Linked DNA regions of Macaca mulatta. The protein of the gene in region 2 binds, or shares a complex with, the protein of the main gene of each other region. Links are inferred from orthologs where the notes say so. Each region holds a gene or a part of one and is shown on either strand. Other genes may lie near its edges.

Region 1 (9,529 bases), on a different chromosome or scaffold from region 2:
AGAAACAGCTGTAATCCATCAAACCATCCACATTCCTTAACATAAGGATTCTGGATTCTAGAACCAAGGAGCATCAGGATTAGAGTAGCTCTCAACCCCACGCGTGTACAGCGCATGGCGCCTGATGTTATGGAGCAGTCACAATCAGTACTTCACCTGATCCAAGTCTGAGAAGGATATAAGACAGGCAGGACAGAGCCAGCGTGTCATTCCTGATTAACAAACACACAGCCTAAGGCGGATTGCCAGTAAGTGAAAAAGGCAGATTCAAAGCTTCTGCCTTTAGGTGGCCAGCAGAGCTGCACGTTCACTTCCAAGACAATCTCCTGCTTCGTGAGCCCCTCCAGTACAATATTGCAGAGAAGTTCACCGTCCTCTCTGACCTGTCAGCTTTTGTGTCTCCCCAAAATTTTGTCTTCTCCAGGCCTAATGTGCCCCTCATTACTACATATTTCTCAAAAGTGAGCAAAATGATTTAAGCATATTATACTTCAATGAACTGCTGTTGTTTTTTTTTTCCGAAGTCAACAAAACCCTTCAGATGTGCTCGGAGATGGACTACCCACCTTCCTGAAACTCAAAGAAATTTGACTAATATTCCTAAGACTGCCCTAGCTTTTCTACGAGCCAAGTGAATTCATTCCCTCACTCCTGCACATTTCCTGAGAATCTAATCTGAAACACAAAGATGATACAACATGGTCCCACAGCCTTTAGGACAAGACAGTCACAACTAAAGTCTTTCATGATCTTCAGCAAGATAGATGTGCTGTATTAACAACTGAGTTTTTGAACCTAAATGCAACTATTCATGCTGTCATGTTCCTTATTTCAGGATCATCCTTGCCGTGCCCTGTGTCCTATGGCAGTTCCCCAACATGATCGTCCCCATCACAATCATGTCATTTAGGCATTTGTTATATGATCAGGAATTGAGGTAAGCATTTTACACAGTATCAGATAGGTATTAACAAGCCCCCTTTACAGATGAGAAAGTTGACACTTACAGAGACTGAGTAATTTATGCAAAATGATAGACTCAGTTTGTGTCAGAGCCTCACCAGCACACCTCAATGACAACTCTTACTGATACTCAATAATATTTCATGAATTCGGCTCAAAACCAACCCATTTATGAGAGCTCCAAAGGTTCACTGTTATCTCTGATATTCAAAATAATACTATTCCTTTGCAGTGATAAAACATACGCATGTAAAGGCTTTATTTCTTTGGCCTTTTAAAAGTATAGTTATTTTGCTGGCTTTGTCCAAATACATAGGAGGAGCTGCAGGTTAAATTGGGACATGCGCGAAACTTCCAAAAGAGCTTCCACCCAATCCAGTACATCCCACAGTGATCTCTGCAATGCCACATTTTTGTTGCGGAGGAAAAACGCAGAACCATGAGGTGACCATGACATGCAGCAATGCTAAATTATTACAACCAACAAATCAAAAATGTTATTAGACACCCGTAAACATTTTATGGTAAAAGCAGCTTTAATAACACTAATCCTTACTTCCTCTCAAATATGTGTCAGAGAAAACTGCTGATATTGAAAAGGCATGTCTATTTTCTGAGACTGAACATTGTAAACCCTTTAGTTGGAAGAATTTCTTAGACCTGTTACGTCCTAATGACTTGTTTTCTTAAAAAAAAGGAAAGTGAAACTCAGGATCACAGATAGTGATAAGCCTAAGATAGTGCACATTTTATTAAGAGTTCTTGGCCGGGCGCGGTGGCTCAAGCCTGTAATCCCAGCACTTTGGGAGGCTGAGACAGGTGGATCACGAGGTCAGGAGATTGAGACCATCCTGGCTAACACGGTGAAACCCCGTCTCTACTAAAAAATACAAAAAACTAGCTGGGCGAGGTGGCGGGCGCCTGTAGTCCCAGCTACTCGGGAGGCTGAGGCAGGAGAATGGCCTAAACCTAGGAGGAGGAGCTTGCAGTGAGCTGAGAGATCCGGCCACTGAACTCCAGCCCAGGCGACAGAGCAAGACTCCGTCTCAAAAAAAAAAAAGAGTTCTATGTATCAAATATTTTTGTCAATTAAAAATTAAAAATAAAAAGTTCCATGTAGACACCTGATTATCTACATTCTCTAGACAATTTTTTTGTCTTTCTAAAAAACAGTGGAAACATTTCTTCCTGCTCTGTCCCTCTGCCCTCCCCTACTTCCCCATCCCAGTACTGAGGTTAGGCTCGTAAAAGGCTAAGAATTCACTTTGGCTTAGTAATCAGTAGATCCCTTTCAAAATCTTAACATCAAAGATAGATGTGTCTTCCATTGTCAACCAAGACTGTATGGACTTACTAGTTCACTTCTACTTGGAAAGTACTTGATACAAGAAAAAAAAGAATTGCAAAGTCTTAACTTTGGTATTTGTCAAATTTATCTCAGTTGAAAATGTTCAATATCTGTGTTTTTACCTCTTGTTTTTACAGTCTGTTTATTTCCAAAACTCACAGGAGACTCCCAAGTGGAAACGGGGTCAACACAGCTAATCTCTGGCTTGAGTTAAAAAGCAAGACTTCTTAATCTTGGAGATGCTAATTTTTTTTCAAAAGACTATTAAGTGACTTTTTAAAAAGCCAAGTCTCAGCCCAGTGCTGTGGCTCACGCCTGTAATCCCAGCACTTTGGGAGGCCAAGGTGGGCAGGTCACCTGAGGTCGGGAGTTTGAGACCAGCCTGACCAACATGGAGAAACCCCGTCTCTACTAAAAATACAAAATTAGCCAGGTGTGGGGGCGCATGCCTGTAATCCCAGCTGCTCGGGAGGCTGAGGCAGGAGAATGAACCCAGGAAGCAGAGGTCGCAGTGAGCCGAGATTGCGACATTGCACTCCAGCCTGGGCAACAAAAGAGAAACTCCATCTCAAAAAAAAAAAAAAGCCAAGTCTAAACTTCTTTGTAATAGGAAAATACATTATATATATTAATATTTCGATAGAAATTTTTTAACTTGAGTAATTATGTAAATTAATTATATTTGCATATCAACATAGTTAACCTCTCCAATGTTATGAATAGAAAAATGAGATGATAAAAGGAAATCCAATGGACAGAAATCCATTGTAAAGGCAACAAAAGTGAAAACTGTAGAAAACTGTAAAAGCAAGAATCTTCAGTCTAAATATGACCCAGAACAAACTGTTACCCAGATAAACACTTCTATGACTGTAGCAGGAGAGAAAAGATGCACAGCTAATCAGAAGAGTTTTCACTGATAAAGAAAGGGCCCAAAAATAATGGCAGGTAATTGAGAAAGCAAATATTATAACTGGCCACAAGCAAAATCCAAAGTAACATAAGAATAAAGGTAAGTTCACTGCTCTGTTAAAAACATTTAATGCCATAGGAATAAATGACTCTTAGTTCTCTTTGGGGGAACAAAGTCACCACTCCATTCCCAGGACTTCGGTCCAAGGGAAAGAAACACACTTGAAACTCTTCCTCCCCACCCCCAAAAGAAGCACCAGGCACAGCAACCAGGGAACAGGCAAACCAGTCTCTAAAGATAAACAACCTCTCAGAGAAGGACAGTCATCCAACTACACATAAGAAAGATACATTATTAGTTACAGTTCTAAACCCTACCTCGGATTCGTGATAAGAAAAAAGACTCTGTAATTCAAACATTTCAGATACCCAGTACGCCTCAAACTACCCTGACATCTAGTCACAAAGCATTCATAGTAACCCTGACTTGGAGGTGGGATTATTGCTTATATTTTTACTACAACTCTACACAGCACAAACTATGCACCTGGTTTTCACTGAATTCAATGACTGTCTATTAAATATTCACTCCAAGCAAGCCTTTGTGGCTGATGGTCATACTTTCCCCGGTGCCGTCATCCTGTCATTCTCCTCCAGGCAGGAGAGTACTGTGTTTCAAGGAGGCTGTTGTGACCGTTTATCAGAACTCTCAAAACAAAAACAGTTGTCCAGTGGTTGAGCTTTAAACAGGAAAAATATCTGAGTACAACCTCCACATTTTTCTCATTATCCAGGCTTCTAAAGCGAAAGTTTAATTATCATTTAAAACGTGGCCTAAATGTCCACGGCAGGGAAGAGCATCGCAGCAGCCATCACTTTCTCACTGACAGTCACTGTGCTCTTACGAGTAGCTTTCGCTATTAACGTACATACAAACATAAGATGTTTTAATCTTCAAATTCAACACCACTCCAATTCCAGGAAAAAAAGCCCTGAGATGTTAGCACACTGGAGAAGCAACCATTTTACTCCTTCAGACTAGAGTTCCATTTCAGATATTAACTTACAATCACTTAGAGGGCAGACAGGAAAGGGGTAGCAGAAGGCTAAAATCCAAGGTTGTCTGGGGTCCCAATAAAGAGGTTCTGTAGCTGTTTGAGAACTTGGCTTTGCAAACTACTTTCTTAGGCCAGAGAAAAACTCCTCGGTAAACTGTTGGAATTTCACCAAAGTATCAATCACGGCAGCCCCTGGGACTAATCCGGTACTGCTGGACTTTCTTCACGCATGGTAGCCCGTATAAACACAGTATATACAGCAAGGTTCAAGCAAGTCTTGGCAAATTTTAACACTGGAGAGGAAGACTGCTTTTATTTCGCTATATTCTTGGATTAAAGGTATTTACTTAAAATAATAAACACTTCTCCGACATTATTACTGGTTAGCTCAGTTCTGAAATACTGGCAAGGTCATTTCAAGAAGAAAAACGGGAGAGGAAGAGGTATAGTTTACGTAAGATAAAATCCACACTTTTCAGTGTCCGGTTCTGAGTTTTGACAAACGCATTTATAGTGGTCTCATCAGCACCACAATCAGGCTACGAAGAGAGAGGTAACTCTTCGAGGATTCTTAAAAGCAAAATTAATTTGTCAGCATACTTTAAAAGTATTTTTGAAATATCACCTTATTTATTTAGAAAAGCAAAATAACACGGTCCGAGTGGTCCTAAGCCGTGAATGCCTCTGCAATACTTAAATGCCCTCCTCCCAACCCCGGCCCGACGAGGGTGAGCCCCGCAGCCAGTGGCGCGCGTCACTGTCGGCTCCTTTTCCCGAGTGGAGACGGGGGAAAGACAGAGTTGCATCGCCAGGCTGGAGCCACGAGGAGAAGAGTTTAACGCCGGAATGACAAACTCTAAAGCACTGAATGCCTCTCCCTGGTAGGGCACTGCGCGTGTGGAGCACGGCCAGGGACGCGTGGGAAGAAAGACGACCTATTTCCTACGACCGTCTTCCTAACTGGACCGAGCGGGAGGAGGCGGGGGCTGGTCCCCGGGCACCCCGGTGGGCACCGAGAACTCGCAGAGAGGAACATAAAACCGCACGGCCTTCCCCGAGCAGCGGGGAGACGGGAGGAAGGAAGGAAATGAGAGCTCGACCCGGCCGCGCGCCGAGCCGAGCCGACCAGCCCGAGGGACCAGGGCCCCACCCGAGAGCAGGAGCGAGGGCCGGGGACAGGAGACCAAGCGCGGGGAGAGCGCTGCCTGCACCTGCCACCACCTCGAGACCGGGTGGCGCGAGGCCCGGGAGCGTGGGCGGCAGAGGGGACCGGGCAGCGGCGAGAGCGCGCCTCCCGCCCCGCAGGGCGCCCGGGCAGAGGCCGACCGGAGCCCTCCGACCCCGCCGGGCCCTCCCCGCCCAGGCACCCGAGCGCACACCTGCCCCCTTCAAGCCCTGGGCCCAGAGCGGCAAGCGGAGACCCTGGCGGGGGCGCGGGCCGGACTTCGGCCGAGGGGCGCTGGCCAGGGCGAGGGACGGCCTCGTAGAGCTCGGAGACGCAGCGCGAGTTTTCCCCGCAGCCCGCGGGCCGCGCGCGCGCAGAGACCGCCGCCAGCACTCACCTGCCCGCTTCCCTTAGCGCAGCGGGAACGACGCACTCCGGCCCGGACCCCGCCGTCCGCCTCAACCAACCCCCAGGCGGTGGCGGCGGTGGCGGCGGCGGCGGCGGCCGGACGGGAGGGGCGGGACGGCAGCCTGAGACGGCCCCGCTGCCGCGGCCCAACCCTGCTCCGCCCGCCCCGGACCCCGCCCCCGGGCCGCCGCCGCCGCTGCTCATTGGTCCACACCTCGGACGCATGGGCGCGGCCCCGCCCCGCCGCCCAGCCGGCGTTCCGTCCGGGGTCCTCCCCAGCCAGTGGGCTGGCGGCTCCCGGGGACGAGAGCGGCCGGCTCAGCGGCCGCCAACCCCGAAGTCGCAATTGGCTGCGTTCGCCCCCGCCAGAGCTCTGATTGGACGAATCTCGACCCGGGCCCCGCCTACGCGCCCAAGTTCCGTTAGCAGGTTCGGTTGCTCCAGAATGCCTTTTTGCTCCAAGGGGCGGGACCGACGGGATGGGCCCTGTGACTGGCTCCTCCCCCTGCACGCAGCAGCCACTGTCCCGCGGGGCGGGCGGGCGGGCGGGGAGGAGAGCGGCGGCTTGTTCCTCTTTTGAGAGCTCTGCTTTCTTCCCATTGGTTGACAGGCATCCTACTCTCTCCGCCCCTCCGGTCGCTTGGTTTTCGTCTCAAGACGCAGCGTGATGACGTAGTTCCCCGACATTCCACATGCAAGATGGCCGCAGTACGCAAGGAGAGACGTCGCTAAGGGGCTTGCCTGAAGCGAGAGGTGAGTGACCCACCGACTGCGGGCAGCACCGCCCACCTCCCGCGTATCTGGAGGTCAGAGTAGGTTATGGTCAACCGCCGCCATCCACTGGCGGAGTCTCTCTTTCCGGATTCTGCCTCCCTCCGCTAACCTCCGGTACACATTGAACTTAGCGGGCGGCGCGGGGCTGTGGGGCGGGCGTGTAGAGAGGGTCTGAGGCGCCGGGGCGGGGCAGGGAGGCCGGGCTCAGTCTAGAACTGGTAGCGGCCCTCGCACTGGGGAGCAGTCAGAGTTCGGGGACTTTCTAGGGGTTGGACAAAAGGGGCAGGGGTGTTAACCGCGCAGTCTCACAGCCACAGACTGCTCATATCTCCCCGATTATTTCGCGGCGTATTAGTCCCAACCTTGGCTAGGCCTGAGACTTTTTGGAGGTTGTTCCATGTCTAGGGTACTCCGACTTTGGAGTTTTGAAGAGCCACGTAACGAGGGTGCGACTAAGAATGAGGAAAAGGCACTTCCGCGGTTAGATTTAGTTGTTGCCGAGACATCGTCTTTACGGACGCGCTCCTGGTGGTTGCTTTGGTTTGTTATGAGAGAAATTGTTCTTTAGAAAATTGGAGCGTAAATCTAGAGGTTATCTGACAGCTCCTAAACTATTGTCTGCCCAAGATAGGCTCGGTAGTGCTCGCTAAATTTAGATTGCCAGTTAAACGGAGCTTTTGCTAAGTCATCTGAGGTTAGGAACTTCTAAGCATTTCTTAAGGGTGGTCTATGTTTTTAAGGGAAACTTGGTGATGTTTGTGTATCTCGATGTAAATCGCTGTTTACAGATATCTAGCACAATGCCTTGCAATTGTAGGTGCCCACTAAAAGTTTGTATGAATGATGTTGCTAGAATGAAAGCGAGGAGCTTTCAGCGCCTGGAACACTGCCTGACGTTTAATAAGCCCTCCGTATTGCTGAATGAAAGAATGGATAGATGGTGGTAATGGTAATAGTATTGATAGACATCTGGATTAAAGTTATGCCCTTAGGATGCTTACCTGTTAAATAATCTTGACTATGAATATAGTAATTATCCGAGATTGTTTTATTCAGAGCGACTACCACTGCTGTCTTTTAGGGTTTTTTCCCCCTCTTGTATCTCATTTCGATTATACTGTGATGCAGTATTCCAGCATATTAGTCGATTTCTAGGCAAATCCTGTTTAAATTTGTTCCATTTTGAAAATGTAGGTTGCACCAACAAGCAATAAAAACTATTCGAGTTGTTAATGAGGTTCTTAAATGTTAAATGCTGTTTCTAAAATTGAATGTCATAAAGAAAAATTGGTCATAGCCGTGGCCTATAAAATGGGCTAGTTCATTTTAGGACGTTATATTTGAAAGCAGTGACTCTGCTTAGTGTCTAAAAGGGAGGACAGTGTTTTCTGCTTGTTTTCTTTAAAACTGGATGAGGACAAAAAAATCTAGAGGAATTAAATTCAAGGTAATTGAGGAGATTACAGAGTGATCATATTTTTAAGCTCAGGTAAATTGTATACCAGAGTATTTGCAGATGACTTTATAAAATCATTATTCATAAATTTTGAAAAATCCTAAAAGTGCAGTTAATGATAGAAGACTAGAGTCTGGTAAATGTCTCAGTTTTCACACAGAACCATTCGATGGCCCTTGGCTGCTAGGAACCTATTAATAAACTTTTAGAATCTGGTTGGAAGAGCCAACAAGTTTATGAGTACTTGGGAAAGGAGAGCTGATTCCCTGAAGCCAACAGAGCTTCAATAAGAAAAGGCCAGGTGAGGCCAGAGGTGGTGGCTCACGCTTATAATACCAGTACTCTGGGAGGCCAAAGCTGGAGGATCACTGAAGCTCAGGAGTTCAAGACCATCCTGGGCAACATAGTGAGACCTCATCACTAAAAAAAAATAAAAAAATTAGCCAGATGTGGAGGTGCATGCCTGTGGTAGCTAGGGAGACTGAGGCAGGAGGATCATTTGAGTTAGAGATCAAGGCTGCAGTGAGTCGTGATCACGTGACTGCACTCCAGCCTGGGCGACAGAGCAAGACCCTGTTTCAAGAAAAAGCCAGGTGACACAAATCATTTCCTTTTGTTACTAGACTGGTGGTGATTGGGGATTGCTGGACGTAAGTTCGTTTAAGTTTATTTAGGACACAGTCTTCCAACAAGATTCTAATACTGTGTCTAGATACAAGAGTTAAATATGCATTGGATAAGGTGTGGTTAGATGGATTGATATCCATGCAAATTACCAACCCCAAAATGTTGATTAATGGGTTGATGTAAACCTGAAGAGTTGTCTTTGGAGATATGCTACAGGACTCTGGTGTTGCCCTTGCTCTGATTAACACTTTTTTTTTTTTTTTGAAACGGAGTCTTGCTCTGTCGCCCAGGCTGGAGTGCAGTGGCCTGATCTCAGCTCACTGCAAGCTCCGCCTCCCGGGTTCACGCCATTCTCCTGCCTCAGCCTCTCGAGTAGCTGGGACTACAGGCGCCTGCCACCTCGCCCGGCTAGGTTTTTTTTTTTTTTTTTTTGTAGTTTTAGTAGAGACGGGGTTTCACTGTGTTCACCAGGATGGTCTCGATCTCCTGACCTCGTGATCCACCCGTCTCGGCCTCCCAAAGTGCTGGGATTACAGGCTTGAGCCACCGCACCCGGCCTCTGATTAACACTTTTTTATTACCAACTTTAAATATATAAACAGCATGATTCTCAAGTTAATAAATGCACTCAAACCATGTAGTGATAATCAGCCACACATTAGATGACACTCAGAAATCAAAGAGTTCTTAAAGGCTGGAATATAATAATAGGCCAGAACCAACCAGATATAAATTTACTAGGTGAGATCGTCTCAAAAATTTTTTTTAAATAAATAAATTTAGTTGGTGTGATTACATTTACAAAAACTCAGTTTTCC
Region 2 (9,543 bases):
CTAATTCTACAATTCAACATGATATTGAATCAATGAGAGCCCTGAGCTTCTTTCCCTGCAACTAGATAGTCCCATCTCGGGGTGATGGGAGACAGTGACAGGTCATCAGGCATTAGATGCTCATAAGGAGTGCACAGCCGCCGGGCGTGGTGGCTCACGCCTGTAATCCCAGCATTTTGGGAGGCCAAGGAGGTGGATCACCTGAGGTCAGGAGTTTAAGACCAGCGTGGCCAACATGGCGAAACCCTGTCTCTGTGAAAAATACAAAAACTAACCAGGGGTTGTGGCACATGCCTGTAATCCCAGCTACTCAGGAGACTGAGGCAGAAGAATTGCTTGAACCCAGGAGGCAAAGGTTGCAATGAGCCAAGATCACGCCACTGCACTCCAGCCTGGGTGACAGAAAGAGACTTAATCACAAAAAAAAAAAGAAAAAGAAAAAGAAAAAAATTGAGACAAGATCTCACTACGCTGCCTAGGCTGCATTTGGGCTCAAATGACCCACCTGCCTCAGTCTCCCAAAGTGCTGCGATTACAGGTGCGAGCCATCACGCCTGCCTGGTCTATTTTAGTTTTTAGAGTCAGGGTCTTGTTCTGTCACCCAGGCTGCAGTGCAGTGGTGCAATCATAGCTCACTGCAGCCTTGAGCTGCTGGGCTCAAGCGATCCTCCCACCTCAGCTTCCCAAAGTGCTGGGATTACAGGCATGCGTCATCACGGCAGGCCCAATTAGGTAAGTTTTGAAGTATGTCTACATCTGGGAGACCACCACCACAATGACATAAAGAACATCACCTGATGCTCGTGTTCATCAAAGCCTCTGCTCTTTCTTCCCATGATCACAGCATGTCATTGTACATTCATTTGCCTTCGTGCTTGTGATGTCTTCCCCGTTAAACTGGGTGCCTGGTGAGAACAGGGAACACATCTGGTTGGTTCTCCTCTATACCTGCAGTACCTGGCACAAACAGTGATTGGATGGATGGACGAATAAGTGAATGAATGAAGTCCTCATTTCCAGACTGACAGCTCCTCCAGGGCAGGGTCCTTGCCCAGGTCATCTCAGCAGCCTCGGGCCCGCCATATAGTGGTCACTCAATGAATGGGTGCTTAAGTGGCCCAAGGTGGCCCAGGGCTCACCACTGCAGAAATCAGACCAAAAGAGCTGGAACTGCCCCAGACAGTCCTTCAGGGGACCCAGGAGGAAGGGGACCACCTTCCTCTCTGCCAGCAGCCACTATACACAGGTGAGGCAGTCCTAGGCCTCCTGGGAGGACCGAATCATTTCCAGAACTACTATGCACCAGGTGGTGTTTTGGGTAAACGGCATCCCTGCAAGGGATCCTCACCCTTTTCTTCATTCTCTGCTTGTGTCAATCACAGCTTCTAGCAGAGGGAAGGGAGGCCAGGCTTGGTTTCTTCCTGCAAGAGTATTTAACTCAGGGCCCTGCAGAACAATGAGAATCTGACCTGCAACTAGCTGGGCATGCTGGGGTGTGCCTGTGTAGTTTCAGCTACTTGGGAGGCTGAGGCAGGAGAATTGCTCGAGCCCAGAAAGTTGAGGCTGCAGTGAGCCATGGTTGTGCCATTGCACTCCAGCCTGGGCAACACAACACCCGAGCTCAAGAATAAAAAAAGAGGCCGGGCGCGGTGGCTCAAGCCTGTAATCCCAGCACTTTGGGAGGCCGAGACGGGTGGATCACGAGGTCAGGAGATCGAGACCATCCTGGCTAACACGGTGAAACCCAGTCTCTACTAAGAAATACAAAAACAAACTAGCCAGGCGTGGTGGCGGGCGCCTGTAGTCCCAGCTACTCGGGAGGCTGAGGCAGGAGAATGGCGTGAACCCGGGAGGCAGAGCTTGCAGTGAGCTGAGATCCGGCCACCACACTCCAGCCTGGGTGACAGAGGGAGACTCCGTCTCAAATAACAAAAAAAAAAGAAAAAAAAAAGAATCTGCCTGCAGTGCCAGGCAGGCCCTGCTGTCCAGGAGTCTGGATGTCTCCCTCTGTAGATCACGAAGAAACTGGCCGAGAGGCCACGGGATGGCACTGTCTGCAGTCACAAGGCAGAATCCAGACCTCAGCCCACAGCTAACCAGAGCTGTCTGCAGACCAGATATGGCCCCATGGATCCCCCAACCCAACTGACTGTGATTCCAGGTTCCCCAGTCTGGGTGAATAGGCAGGAATCCCAGCCTTTCCTCAGCCTATGGGAGCCTGGGCCAGGCTGACCCTCAAAGGTGACCGACAGCCACCACTCCATATGGTGAAGGCAAAGGTGTGGCAGCTACGAACACCCACTACACCCCCACTCAAGGGAACACCATGCTAAAAGTTGACCCTCAGGGAGTTCCACTCCCAGAAAATCCAGGTGCCAACCAACCCCAATGAGAAATGGCACCTGGGCCACCAGACACCCCAAAACAGCATTTTCCACCTCAAGCATTTTCCTCAAGCGTTTTCCACCTCAAACCATTTCCACCTCAAGCATATGCACTGAGTACCAGAGAAACTAGGGTACCTGGGAATGGGTGGAAGGGCCAGGACAGGAACTCCCCAGTAAGCAGAAACAGAGACCTGAATCCTGAATCTTCCCCCACCCTCTAAGGCTGCTCAATGTCAAGGCGGAAGGGACCTTGGCCCACCTCCACTCTAGGTAAGGACAAGTTGGCCCCCACCACCCCACCCTTCAAGGATCACCCTCCACTGCCCACAACCCAGTCATGCCACAAAGTCACTCTTGGCCTCATTTGTAAGGTGTGCACTTTTATTCAACTGGTCTCAAGTCAGTGTACAGGTAAGCCCTGGCTGCCTCCACCCACTCCCAGGGAGACCAAAAGCCTTCAGACATCTCAAGTTGGGGGACAAAAAGAGGGGGCATGAAGGCTCATTATTCAAAATAAAACAAAATAAAAAAGTATTAAGGCGAAGATTAAAAAAATTTTGCATTACATAATTTACACGAAAGCAATGCTATCACCTCCCCTGTGTGGACTCGGGAGAGGACTGGGCCATTCTCCTTAGAGAGAAGTGGGGTGGCTTTTAGGAGGGCAAGGGACTTCCTGTAACAATGCATCTCATATTTGGAATGACTATTAAAAAAAAGAACAATGTACAATCAAAGTCCTCGGCCACATTGTAGAACTTTGGGGGATGCTCGCTCCAACCGACTGCTGTCACCTTCACCGTTCCAGTTTTTAAATCCTGAGTCAAGCCAAAAAAAAACCAAAACAAAACAAAAAAAACAAATAAAGCCATGCCAATCTCATCTTGTTTTCTGCGCAAGTTAGGTTTTGTCAAGAAAGGGTGTAACGCAACTAAGTCACAGTCCGCCTAGAAGCATTTGCGGTGGACGATGGAAGGGCCAGACTCGTCATACTCCTGCTTGCTGATCCACATCTGCTGGAAGGTGGACAGCGAGGCCAGGATGGAGCCGCCGATCCACACAGAGTACTTGCGCTCAGGAGGAGCAATGATCTGAGGAGGGAAGGAAACAAACAGGCAGTGAGAACCCCGGATGTGACAGCTCCCCACACACCACAGGGCCCCATGGCCCACCTGCCCAGGTCAGCTCAGGGTGGAAGGACACCCACCTTGATCTTCATCGTGCTGGGCGCCAGGGCAGTAATCTCCTTCTGCATCCTGTCAGCAATGCCAGGGTACATGGTGGTGCCACCAGACAGCACTGTGTTGGCGTACAGGTCTTTACGGATGTCCACGTCACACTTCATGATGGAGTTGAAGGTAGTTTCGTGGATGCCACAGGACTCCATGCCTGAGGAAGAAATGAGGGCGGACTTAGCTTCCACAGCACAGCCCGAAGGGTGACCCTCAGGTCAGGCAGGGCCGGGAGGCGGGTCTCCACTCACCCAGGAAGGAAGGTTGGAAGAGAGCCTCAGGGCAGCGGAACCGCTCGTTGCCAATGGTGATGACCTGGCCATCGGGCAGCTCGTAGCTCTTCTCCAGGGAGGAGCTGGAAGCCGCCGTGGCCATCTCCTGCTCGAAGTCTAGGGCGACATAGCACAGCTTCTCCTTAATGTCACGCACGATTTCCCGCTCGGCCGTGGTGGTGAAGCTGTAGCCGCGCTCAGTGAGGATCTTCATGAGGTAGTCAGTCAGGTCCCGGCCAGCCAGGTCCAGACGCAGGATGGCATGGGGGAGGGCATACCCCTCGTAGATGGGCACAGTGTGGGTGACCCCGTCACCGGAGTCCATCACGATGCCAGTGGTACGGCCAGAGGCGTACAGGGACAGCACAGCCTGGATGGCCACGTACATGGCTGGGGTGTTGAAGGTCTCAAACATGATCTGTAAGGAAGAAATGCACCATGTCACACTCAGGAAGCTACTGGGACAGCCAGGCCAGATGGGGGACATGCAGGAAGTGCAAAGAACACTGCTAAGTGTGCTGGGGTCTTGGGATGGGGATTCTGTTCAGACCTACTGTGCACCTACTGAATACACACTCCAAGGCCGCTTTACACCAGCCTCATGGGCTTGTCACACGAGCCAATGTTAGTACCTATACCCACAGCACTGTCTGTTTTAGACACCTAGTCAGAGAGGCAAACACCAGAAAAAGAGCTCATCTGGGAAAAAGCAAATAGAACCTGCAGAGTTCCAAAGGAGACTCAGGTCAGAGAAGAGAGTCCTACGAAGAACGGCAGAAGAGAGAACCAGTGAGAAAGGGCGCAGCTCCGGGAGACCAGGAAAGAGGGCGGTGGCCACCACAAGAGGTAGCGGGCCACTTACCTGGGTCATCTTCTCGCGGTTGGCCTTGGGGTTCAGGGGGGCCTCGGTCAGCAGCACGGGGTGCTCCTCAGGAGCCACACGCAGCTCATTGTAGAAGGTGTGGTGCCAGATCTTCTCCATGTCGTCCCAGTTGGTGACGATGCCGTGCTCGATGGGGTACTTCAGGGTGAGAATGCCTCTCTTGCTCTGGGCCTCGTCGCCCACATACGAATCCTTCTGACCCATGCCCACCATCACGCCCTAGGAAAGAAAAAACAAGGCGCCCTAAGCACGGGCGCGGCCCCCACCCCAGAAACCGGGAGACCCCCGTGCAGAGAAAGCGCCCTCGCCTCCCGCCCGCTCCCGGGCCCGCCCCACCCACCCAGCTCCCCTACCTGGTGCCTGGGGCGCCCCACGATGGAGGGGAAGACGGCCCGGGGGGCATCGTCGCCCGCGAAGCCGGCCTTGCACATGCCGGAGCCGTTGTCGACAACGAGCGCGGCGATATCATCATCCATGGCGAGCTGCGGGAAAGCCGGGCGCTCTGTGAGCCGAGGTGGCCCCCGCCCTGCCCACTTCCGGCGCGCCGAGGCCTTAGGCCGCCAGGGGGCGCAGGCGCGCGCCCAGATTGGGGACAAAGGAAGCCGGGCCGGCCGCGTTATTACCATAAAAGGCAAACACTGGTCGGAGGCGTCCCCACCGCGCGCGGCAGGAAGCCAGGCCCCCACCCCCTCCCAACCGGGAGCCGGCCCCGCCTCCGCTCCGTTCAAATAGCGCCGGGTCGGCGCGCGCGCGCGCGGCGGCCACACCCTCAGGCGGCCGGCGGCGCGGGCAGGAAGTGCGCGCAAGCGCCCTGGAGCCTCCGCGACCCCACCCCTTCCGGCGGGGCCAGCCCTTGCCCCAGCCCAGGCCGCGGCACCCGGGCCCCAGAACGCACGCGCAATTAGCGCCTGGAGTCCCAGCGCGCACGCGCAACTAGCGCCGATTCCCAGCGCGCACGCAGAGTTAGCGCCCCAAGCCCCAGGACGCACGCGCAATGGCGCCCCAGCCCCCCACCGAGCCTGGCGGGGGGGCTCCGCCGCGCCCACCCTGCAGTTCCCACTGGCAAGAAGCCGGCTCGGACAAAGACCCCGCCGGCTGCCCCCATCCCGAGAGCAGCACCCCCAGAGCGCGCCTCCCGAGCAGGGCCCCGCGCCGCCAAACTGAAGCGGGGTGTCCCCACATCTCTGGAGGCCCAGGGGCTTCTCCCGCGTCCCCCACTGCAGTCCAGTCCCCACATGCGACCCCCGCTGCGGCGCAGGCGGCTCTACACAGGCGAAGGGGCCGCGGCCTTAGGCAGCCGAGCCGGGAGCCGCCTACCAGGGTCGGCTGGCCGGGCTTACCTGGCGGCGGGTGTGAACAGGCGGCGGAGCGGCAAAGGCGAGGCTCTGTGCTCGCGGGGCGGACGCGGTCTCGGCGGTGGAGGCGCGTCGCGCCGCCGGGTTTTATAGGGCGCCGCTGCGGCCGCTCGAGCCATAAAAGGCAACTTTCGGAACGGCGCGCGCTGATTGGCCCCGCGCCGCTCACTCACCGGCCTCGCCGCACAGTGCAGCATTTTTTTACCCCCTCTCCCCTCCTTTTGCGAAAAAAAAAAAAAGAGCGAGAGCGAGATTGAGGAAGAGGAGGAGGGAGAGTTTTGGCGTTGGCCGCCTTGGGGTGCTGGGCCCGGGGGTTGGGGGCGCGCGCGGTGGCCCCCGCACCCCACGCTGGGCAGTGCCCGGTTCGGCCCCGCATGGCCAGGCCTGTCCCCGGCCTGCCCGTCTCTCGGGCCCCCCACCCACCGCGGGACATTCTAGGTGTGGACATCTCTTGGGCACTGAGCGCCCAGGTCGGGTGGGCCAGGGTCTGCACGGGTGCCAGGGTCCTGGGTGCTGTGCGCTCCTGCAGAAGGAGCCCTTGAAGGGCATGGAGTGGCCAGGCAGTCACTCCCCCTTGCCGACTTCAGAGCAACTGCCCTGAAAGCAGGTCTCGGGACCTCTGGCTATGGGGCTCAGCTAGCTAAATGGGCTGGGTGGGTCACTAGGGAGAGACTTGGGCTTGAGAGGTAGAGTGTGGTGTTGGGGGAGTCAGGGGCCTCGCGGCCACTTAGAAGTCGCAGGACCACACTGCCCAGGACAGGGCAGGCGCCAGCGGTCCAGTGGCTTGAGGTGGCCTGTGATGAAAGCTGCAAACCCACCCAGCCACGGCCCTGGGAAGGTGGGCTCTACGGGGCAGGGAAAGTTTCCCCAGGAGCTGCTGCTTCTGAGGGTAACGCGGTCACGCCCAGCCAAGACCAGGCCTGGGGCGTTAGTGGGTGACCCAGGCAGCTCCAGGCACTGCGGGGTGTGGGGGCTGGGTCTACACAGCCTGGGTCTGCGCCCACCGTTCATTGCATGTCTGCTATGCGCAGCCACAGCTGAACTGCCCTCCCAGACCATCTGGAGGCCGCGGGGGGACTCTGGGGACCAAGACTCCATGTGCCAGAGAGGATTGGGGGCGGGGCGGGGTAGGAGCTCAAAGCCAGCCTGGGAAGACCCTCTCCTTGTCACCCTTTCTTGCCTCGGGTCTGTCCACTCAGTAGCACACAAGACCCGGGTGGCTAGGGTCGTTCTGCTCTGGGAATCAGAGACTGTATGTACCCAGCTGGTGGACATGCAGTGATCAGTGGCGTGGGACCACAGAGGGGCATTCAGCTCAACCTAGAGGAACATGCCCTTCTCCTCCTCCCCCTCCTTGGAGGTGGTGACAAGAAGCTGGATTTTTACACAAAAATAGGAAGGGTGGTGAGGTGGGGGCACGTCAGGCCTTCAGGGGGCTTTGCAGCACGTAGTAGGTGTTCGTTGAGTGTGTGTTGCAACAGGCAAAGATGAGTCCATATAAGGACGTGGAACCTGTGGCCTTGTTCCAGTTCACGGTACAAGGCTGTGCTCAGTCAGTGGGACCCACTCCTCCCTCGAAGGTTGCAGAGGCCACAGCCTGGTGGGAAAGATGACCACCACCCAGCACACAGTGGCAGACACAGGTTCACAGTCCAGAAGGCTTGCTAGGCCTCCTCCATCACCACCCCACGCAAGGGCAAACTTTCCCAGCCTGTATACTCCCTGCCTCCTGGGGATGGGACTGTCCTGTGCCTGGCCTTGTATCTTTCAGCTGCAGGCGTCTTGCCACCTGCCTCAGGACCTGCCAACCCTACAGTTCACCAGGCCGGCGTTGTGGGGCGATGGGCGGGGGGGACCTTTTTGCTGCCTGTTGATGAGGGCTGGTTCTGGGGGTTCCTCAAAGGTTGAACTGGGTGGAGTGCTGTGGGAGGTGGGGATGGGACCGGATCTGCAGAGCAAGGATGGGAGGCTGTTGGGTGGGTGGCTCCAGGCAACAAGGTAGGGTGCAGAGCAGACCTGATCCCCAGGCAGGACCTGTGCTGCCACTGGGCCTCTACTCAGCTGGCCAAGAGACAGAAGCTCCAGCCCCACCCCACCCCAGGCTGCAGCCTTCCTGGCCTGTCCTCCTGGCTTGTGGTTCCCTCTGTCTGCAGCGGCCACTTCTTGGTGCTCTCCTATGCACCCTTCAAGTCCCATCCCAGAAAGTCCGTCTTTAGGGAAACCTTTTAGCCTCTGCAACCATGCCTTCCTCCCTACCTCAGACCAAGGCTTGCAGCTGGCATTTAGAACTGGGCCTCACCCACCAGGCTGCGAGCCCTCCCAGGGTCTCCATCACCCCCACTCCTTCCCACCACACCCACCCCAGGGCTCCTCGCTGTTGAATGAGTGACTGCCTGGATGTCCTCAGATGGCAGGTTGGAGGTGGCCAAGCAGCCTGGGGTGAGGGGCAGGGAGGAGCTGAAGAGAGAAAGCAAGCAGCGGAGCAGGAAAAGAGGAAGTAGAACTGGCTGGCCAGGGGGCGGGCTGAGCAGGGGAGAAGTGAATAGGTTCTCTTCTGCGCTTGGGAACTTTGCCCTGGAAGGGAGTTTTCGGAGCTGTCACTTGGGTATGCACGCATTCCCCAGAGAACCCTCGGTTGAACTCAGCCAAGGGGACTCCACCTGCCTGGCTGGGGCTTTTGTTTTTTCCCCTCCAAGCCTTTGCTTTGTTGACGCCCCCACCCTGCAAGGCCTCCAGGCAACCGACTCTTACAGCCCAGACCCAGGGACCCCTCCTTGGCCCTCCCGCAAAACCACCGCCCAGCCACCTTGCCCTGGGCACTGAAGCCCCCTCCCTACCCTGCCAAGAGGGAATCCAGCCTCCTTTTTATTACCTTTTTTTTTTTTTTTTTTTTGATACCAGGTCTTGCTCTGATGCCCAGGCTGGAGTGCGGTCACAGCTCACTGCAGCCTTGACCTCCTGGGCTCAAAGCCCTCACAAGTAGCTAGGACTGTAGGCACACACTTCCGTGCCTGGCTAATTTTTAAATTATCTGTAGAGTTCGCGCTTCTCACCATGTTGCCCGGGCTGGTCTCCAGCTCCTGGGGACTCAAGTGATCCTCCCACCTCAGCCTCCCAAAGTCCTGGGATTACAGGCATGAGCCACCATGCCCGTCCTCAAGCTCCATTTTTTAGAGGAAGGAACTGAGACAAAGCTTCCCTCCTAGACTTGAGTTAGCTCCAGGAGGATGGGCACAGTTCAGCACCCTGAACACAGTAGGTGCTTGTGAGAGGATAATGAATGAGTGAGTGAATGATTGAGGGGGTGCAACATTCCAGGAGACACACCCCCATTCACAGACTAGGAAACTGAGTCAGGACTGGTGAAGTGCTCAAGTCCCCAAATGTGGTGGGAAGGACTCTGGGCTCAGGGCC

The links. The genes of interacting proteins can lie anywhere in the genome.
Region 1: the proteins of ACTB (region 2) and SETD3 are in contact, whole or in part, in a crystal structure (PDB 6ICT), measured with the Homo sapiens proteins. The link is inferred for Macaca mulatta from reciprocal best matches to the Homo sapiens genes ACTB and SETD3. Residues at the interface, in NP_001092.1 of Homo sapiens: Leu67, Lys68, Tyr69, Pro70, Ile71, Glu72, His73, Gly74, Ile75, Val76, Thr77, Asn78, Trp79, Asp80, Asp81, Met82, Lys84; in NP_115609.2 of Homo sapiens: Cys36, Ser37, Ile148, Ala151, Met152, Asn154, Ile155, Asn212, Arg215, Gln216, Val248, Val251, Met252, Thr253, Arg254, Gln255, Asn256, Gln257, Ile258, Pro259, Leu268, Ile271, Trp274, Asp275, Cys277, Ile284, Thr285, Thr286, Gly287, Tyr288.

Annotation. Positions count from the first base shown.
Region 1 is NC_133412.1:172,798,542-172,808,070, forward strand, and holds the start of SETD3 (actin-histidine N-methyltransferase), read right to left. Parts: upstream 5,951-9,529; 5' UTR 5,844-5,950; intron 1-5,843. UniProt on the Homo sapiens protein: Protein-histidine N-methyltransferase that specifically mediates 3-methylhistidine (tele-methylhistidine) methylation of actin at 'His-73'. Histidine methylation of actin is required for smooth muscle contraction of the laboring uterus during delivery.
Region 2 is NC_133408.1:43,741,411-43,750,953, forward strand, and holds ACTB (actin, cytoplasmic 1), read right to left. Parts: upstream 6,133-9,543; 5' UTR 6,115-6,132; intron 5,257-6,114; 5' UTR 5,251-5,256; coding exon 5,128-5,250; intron 4,994-5,127; coding exon 4,754-4,993; intron 4,310-4,753; coding exon 3,871-4,309; intron 3,777-3,870; coding exon 3,595-3,776; intron 3,479-3,594; coding exon 3,335-3,478; 3' UTR 2,905-3,334; downstream 1-2,904. UniProt on the Homo sapiens protein: Actin is a highly conserved protein that polymerizes to produce filaments that form cross-linked networks in the cytoplasm of cells.